2 linked regions of the Daphnia pulex genome follow. The protein of the gene in region 1 interacts with the protein of each later gene in a pairwise test. Links are inferred from orthologs where the notes say so. Each region holds a gene or a part of one and is shown on either strand. Other genes may lie near its edges. The genes, in order: serine/threonine-protein kinase svkA-like and programmed cell death protein 10-like.

Evidence for each region.
Region 2: the proteins of serine/threonine-protein kinase svkA-like (region 1) and programmed cell death protein 10-like interact in a two-hybrid assay, tested with the Caenorhabditis elegans proteins (2 studies listed by BioGRID). The link is inferred for Daphnia pulex from reciprocal best matches to the Caenorhabditis elegans genes gck-1 and ccm-3.

Annotation. Positions count from the first base shown.
Region 1 is NC_060025.1:3,352,596-3,355,426, forward strand, and holds part of serine/threonine-protein kinase svkA-like, read left to right. Parts: coding exon 1-530; intron 531-1,180; coding exon 1,181-1,405; intron 1,406-1,487; coding exon 1,488-1,653; intron 1,654-1,784; coding exon 1,785-1,942; intron 1,943-2,028; coding exon 2,029-2,214; intron 2,215-2,282; coding exon 2,283-2,428; intron 2,429-2,516; coding exon 2,517-2,831. UniProt on the Caenorhabditis elegans protein: Serine/threonine-protein kinase which is required for normal oogenesis and suppression of germline cell apoptosis. Inhibits phosphorylation and thus probably activation of mpk-1 during pachytene stage.
Region 2 is NC_060025.1:9,340,729-9,344,563, forward strand, and holds programmed cell death protein 10-like, read right to left. Parts: upstream 2,074-3,835; 5' UTR 1,734-2,073; coding exon 1,713-1,733; coding exon of another isoform or gene 1,709-1,712; intron 1,648-1,708; coding exon 1,321-1,647; intron 1,263-1,320; coding exon 921-1,262; 3' UTR 562-920; downstream 1-561. Other genes in the region: group XIIA secretory phospholipase A2-like, read left to right, coding at 2,271-2,514, 2,583-2,650, 2,715-2,886, 2,948-3,060. UniProt on the Caenorhabditis elegans protein: Involved in excretory canal elongation during postembryonic development. Plays a role in promoting Golgi stability, ER integrity and vesicle transport probably by regulating the activation of Rho GTPase cdc-42. Involved in fertility.

The sequences.
Region 1 (2,831 bases):
TCGGCGAGATGAAGCGCGACAAATCGTTGGGAAGCAGCGCCAGCAGCGCCAGCAGTGGCAACCGGAGCGGCAGCAGTTTGTCGAGCGACCGGCCTCGCCCGCTCTCGGCCTTCTGGGGCGGACTCGGCTCCAAATCCTCGTCGCCCAAATCGGAGCCCGTCGTGCCCAAGGGCTACAAGCTCAAGCACTCGTACGGAGGATCTACCGGACACTTGGACGCCTACGGAGCCGGAATGGGTGGCGGGATGAGACCGGCTGTCTCCATGCCCGTGGTGGCGGCCGCCGCTGCTGCTGCCCACCACCTTCCGGTGGCGTCGCCCAGCAGCCGGAACAATACCACCAGCAGCAGCAGCAGCAGTGGCAGTCATCCCATTAGCGGGGCCAACAACATCAACAAACATCATCGCCACCAACAACATCGCAACAGTCTGCCGCCGGCCTTGATTCAACATCCTTCGCTGCAGCAGCGACCCAATCAGCAACGGCCACCGTCGCGTGCAATCGGCACCGGTGGCTTAACGTCCCGGATGGTAAAAACATTGGAAAAAAAAAGAAAACTAAAACTAAAAAAACTAAAAAGGGACAAACGGGACGAGAATTATTGCCGTGTGTGCCAATTTCCCCCCCGTGTCGTTTGACGACCGGTCCGTGAATGTCACCTGACGATTTTCTATTAAAAGAGAAAGAAAGAAAAGAAAAAAAGAAAACCGGCCACGCTTGACGCTTCCATGGGCGGATGATTATTAGTCTCATGTTCTTCGTGTCTTTTTTACATTTTTCGTTATTATTCTTCCGGCCATTTTATCCGGTTCTTTTTTTTTTGGCCAGTCGATATGCGTTTTGCGTCGAGTGCTGGCAGCAGCAGGAGGAGAGTGATAACTTGCGAGTTATCTTGAGTAGGTATTCCGTCGCCCCTAGGGCCAGCACTTAAAACGACCTTTTTGGACGTTGGTCAAGACGGGACGGTGAAAAAAGCAAATCGTGTTTTCACCGTTAGTTGATGCACACAAGGCACACACACAAGTGTGTCAAACATTCGGCACTCGATCATCGGTCTGGCCTTAGCCATAAAAAGGCATCCCGTTATGACGTCACGTTTCGCCTTTCTGACTGATTCCCGAATACTTTTATCTAAATACAAATTTTTGTTTTTGTTTGTCTGAATTTTTCTTGGTTGTAGAAAGTGGATCCCGAATTGATCTTCACCAAACAGGAGAGGATCGGCAAGGGCTCGTTTGGCGAAGTGTTTAAAGGCATCGACAACCGGACGCAGCAGATCGTGGCCATCAAAATCATCGACCTGGAAGAAGCCGAAGATGAGATCGAAGACATCCAGCAGGAGATTATGGTGTTGTCGCAGTGCGATAGCCCTTACGTCACTCGCTACTACGGATCCTACCTCAAAGTAAAAACCCAAATTCAAAATTTCTTTTTTTTTTTTTAAATTTCAGACTGACGAATTTCTCTTTTTTTTCTTTGTCTGTTAGGAGACGAAACTGTGGATCATTATGGAGTACCTGGGCGGCGGTTCGGCGCTCGACCTGATGAAGGCCGGCCATTTCGACGAAATGCAAATCGCCATCATCCTCCGCGAAGTGCTCAAGGGCTTGGAGTACCTTCACTCTGAACGCAAACTCCATCGCGACATTAAAGGTGAGAGAAAATTTTAAATAATAATCAACAAAAATGATTTCTTCCAAGAAGAGCACGGCCTTGGCCGTTTGGCTAATGTTGGCCGTCATCATCATCATCATCACCACCTCCCGTTTTCTCTTTCCCCGCAGCTGCCAACGTGTTGCTGAGCGAGCAGGGCGACGTGAAATTGGCGGATTTCGGCGTTGCCGGCCAGTTGACCAACACGACCAGCAAGCGCAACACCTTTGTGGGAACGCCCTTCTGGATGGCACCTGAAGTCATCAAGCAATCAGCCTACGACTCAAAAGTAAGGCGACATTCTGGTGTTGTCCAACCCGTTTTTCCAGTTTTAGTTTTCTTGCTAACGACATTTTTCTGTGTTGGCGTTTCCAGGCGGACATATGGTCGCTGGGCATCACGGCTATCGAACTTGCCAAAGGGGAGCCACCCAATTCCGATTTGCATCCCATGCGGGTCCTCTTCCTCATCCCAAAGAACAATCCGCCTCAATTGACGGGCAATTACTCCAAGCAGTTTAAGGAGTTTGTTGAAGCTTGTCTCAATAAAGATCCCGAAAATGTATAAATGAAATTCCGGTCGGAATCGAAAATTGAAAAAAATAACTTCATTTGATTTGATTAAAACAGAGGCCAACGGCCAAGGAGCTGCTGAAAACGCCTTTCATCCGCAAGGCCAAAAAGAATCCCTACCTGATCGACCTGATTGACCGCTTCAAAAAATGGCGGATGATGCACAACGGCGACAGTGGCACCGATTCCGACAACTCCGACTCGTACGAAAACCGGTTTTCATATATTTGACACTTGTTGGGTTGTTTGAACAGATTCACAAGAATTTCCGTTTGATTTCATTTCATTTAGTGAGGGCTCTCACACGGACAACGACGCCAGCGATCCGTGGATCAACACGGTGACGAGCATCGAGTCGATCGTGGCCCGCAGTGGCTACCCGTCGGATTGGAGCGACAACGGAGGAGATAACAAAGAGTCGACCACTACCAGCAGCACCAACAAGGTGTTGTCATCCTCTGAGCAGCAGCAGCAGTCACGTTCCCCGCCATCTTCAGCGCCGGTCAAGAGTCCGATGAACGGGAATTCCGTGACGGTTGTCGCGGCCGCCTCCGTCGCCTCGTCTACCACCACCAACTCCTCGGGCGATCGAAACCTGTCACGATC
Region 2 (3,835 bases), about 6.0 Mb from region 1:
GCTTTCTTTCTTGCTATGACGTCATTTTCTTGGTTTACTTAAACAACTTTAAACAATCATTGCTATCGTAATCCTCCGGAACTTGTTCGAGTAGATTTCTTCTCTACTTTTTGTTTTTGTTTTAAATGGCTTATTATTGAGACTTGCCAAACCGCTCCCAGTTTACAGCGTACTTTTTGTTATTGGAAGAAACTTTCTTCGTTTTTTTTTCCTTATTACATTTTACTTTTCAAGTTTTATTTTATTTCTGGCTGTATACTCTTCGTGCAGTTATCCCTTCGTTTATGATATTGCTCTCAAAAGCTACACATGCTTCCTTTTGCTAGTAAAACTGTTTAACAGATTGCTCTAACCAATGAAAACATTTGAAATTCGAAGGTGTTTCTTCAGAAGCTCAAAAGAGAAAAGATTAGAACATTTGAATTGGTCTGTATTATTCAAATAAAATCTCAACATTTATGTTAGACTGCGAAGATATACTGTGTATTCTATACTTTTTAACTATATATATAACACGAAACCACCGCATATATATAAACAGGCTTATAATTACTGCTTATAGAAAGTTCAACAATGTTTATTCTCTGGAATGTTAGGTCGGGCTAGGATAACATGCAACGGATTTCATCATTAGGAGCGGTCTAGGAGGTGGCGAGCAATAAGGATTTTGTGGATGATAAGATAACGAGAGAGAGAAAAAAAAATGGGGTGAAGAGATGCAGACAACCCCCTCAAGGGTACTCACACCTGATCTGAAAATGGACGGTGTAAAACGATGAAAGAACGGATTAAGTTGTGTTTTTATTTTTTGAAATATAAATATTCACGACTGTGTGTGAAGCACCACTTAAACCGCTACCGAATTGCGACGTCTCCGAGCATCGACCTTCACCGCAGCTTGAAAGATTTTTTAACAAAACTTATTCACAACAATCTTTAACGGTTGTAATAATGAAATTGGATTGCTGTATCAAGCAGAGGGCACTCAGGAAGACAGCATTTGCTTGTCCATCGCGGAAGTATTCTTTCAACGTCGTGCTGAACCGTTTAGAATACTTGACGAATTCTCGTTTTCGCTGTTCCAGGCGCTGTTTTCCCGAGCCGAATATTATGTAGACGGCCACTTCATTAACTGCGTCAAGCAGTTTCTTTATGGCACTTGCAATTTCTTTAATAGTCTCCAGAAAGGCTTTGCGGTCTCCAATCTCATCAGGGATTCTACTCAGGATCTTCTTCAAACCAACTGACTTCTTACACAGTTCCTGTTCAGTAAGGGGCTATCATGAGTATTTGAAATTGTGATATTTAAAGCGGAGCTACCTGAAAGGCATCTTCAGAGCGGTTAATTCTGTAATCAGGTGATTCTTGATCCAAGGCTGCTCCTTGAACTCTTAAAAGACTCTCATTCATGTTGACTTTTTGTGACAATTCTGCCTTTTTCATCAGTCCCAAAATGAAACTGTGGCAGAGGCCTGGATGGGCAGATTCGGCATTACTAAAGGCAGCTTTCAGCAGTTGGGCAGCACCTGGATCTTGTTTCTCCAAGTTTACCAGAGATGGGCCCACCAAAATAGGCAACACTAAAGAAGACAACATGCTTTCTTCTCCCATAGTCATCTTTGTAGAAGCTTCTGCCACTTTAATTACCTATTTAAAACAGATAATTAGTTGAGATACAGTTTGCGACTTTAAGCCTTAAAAAAGTCACATGCATTTGATAAATGCTTTAGCATGATGTTGGAATAAGAATAAGTGTCACTAGAAGTTAAATTCCATAGGGATATCGCGTAATTTCTTGAAAAATTGCACACACAACTACAACTAGCTTGTCTAGAGAAAGTAAATACGAGTGTGTTGATCGACTAGATCGAATGAGTTCAATCAAAGTAAGCCACTAGACAAGTGTTTGTACTAAACAAGGTAAGAAAACCTTGGAAAAGGAAACAGAGATATCCAGTGTAGTAATTTCACAGTTGGATCTAAGATAAACAAAACATATCACTTACAAATAAATAAGCAAAAGGAATAACGCTCAACCATCTGATCTGACGTACGTAGTTCTGTTACTTCATTTCAAAAGGCAACCTTGTTTGAAATGAGGAAACACAATGAATATATTCTTTATTGATTATTAATTTTTATAACTTAATGATTTTGACGTTTAAATTGAATTTTAAAATATTATTTGATTTCTTATATTTTTGGTGAAATAAATTTTTTGTTTAATTTTTTTACAGTCGTACTGGCAACGCTTATCGCTCTAGTTCAAAATGTCATCATTTCCAAGAGCAAGAGTTATCAGAATTCTTTTAGTATTCGTGACCATTTCTGCTTTATTTGTCGACGGACAAAAAAGTTATTTTGATGAAATCAAAAATGCAATGCACAACCTTAAAAGTTTTTTGCATACTGGGCTTGATGGGCTTGCTAAGTTGGCCAAAACGATTCAAGTAGTAGAACAGTTTGTTGACGCAACTATCGATGAAGATTGTGAGCCATACACGTGTCCAAAAGGTTAATTTACATAAAAAAACAAATTTGCTTGGATTAAAATATCTTCTTGATGCTGTTTCTTGTTGAAGGATTTATCAGAAAAGCAAATCCTTTGCACATACCGGAAAGTAATGGATGTGGATCATTTGGATATACGGTAAATGAAGAAATCCTTGTGTGTGCTGGTTCTATTTAATCTCTTGTGCTAATAATATCATCAGTGGAAAGAAGAGAAACTGCCTTTAAAAGAGTTAGAAGAATGCTGTCACACCCACGATTATTGCTATGATGACTGTGGAGCCGATAAAGATTTGTGTGACTTGCATTTTAAAAAGTGCCTCTACAAAGTATGTTCAAATCATGAAGAAGAATTATCATTGCTGTTCATGAAAGGTAATAATGTAATTTTTTTTTTTTTTCTAAAAATGTTAGTAAATGTCCTTTTTCTGTTCAGCCTGCAAAGGGACTGCAAAGTTAATGTACACAGGAACATTAGCTTTAGGATGCCAGGCTTATCGAGAAGCACAGAATAAGGCCTGTCAGTGCTATGCAAGAGATGAATTCTGAAAAAAAAATTTTGTGATGATATGCTTAACTATTAAATCCATTGTAAAAAAATCCTCCATTTCTAATCAAAATTAGAAATAATTGAATTAAATAATAAAGTGTTAGTTTTAGGTTTTACAAAATTTGACTAATTTCTTCCATTCTAAATTTCATTTTCTAGATATTTTGGTCGTGTTTGATGCATTATCTCTTCAAATTCCTTTATTTCTTCAGTTTCCTTTTCGAACCAAAGAGGTCGCCGTTAGTTAAGTGTAAGGAGTAAAACAGAATCCCTTCAAGTAATCCACCCAAATGTCCCGTATATTATGTCATGAGAAAAGTTCTCTGAAAAAGTTTTTTTTAGTGAAACTCAAGTATTTAATTAATTAATATTTCAGTTTGCCAAAAGGAAACTAATTAACGAAAGAAAAATCCATCGCTTTTCCTTTTAAAGTTTTTTAAATGCCTCTCTCAGTCCTAAAGTTTGTGTTTACTTCTGTATTCTTCATCGCGTTTTCCCCTGACTAAATTATTATAGGCTCATCTAGTCTTGTTAATAAGTGGAAAACTTGTTGCCTTTTGGTTTACTCCGGATTTACCCATTTACCGCGAATGGATTCTCTTGCAACAATTCATGGTAAAGAAGTTTTGATATTGCATTAATAATTCCTGTCATTGTGATGTCATTTCTATAATCAACAGAAAAACGGAAGTAAGCCAGGATCTCGTCCTTATCTTATCTCGCTGGTTGATTGACGAACAGTTTTAGTCTGCCGTTTTTCGGTACCCCGGCAAA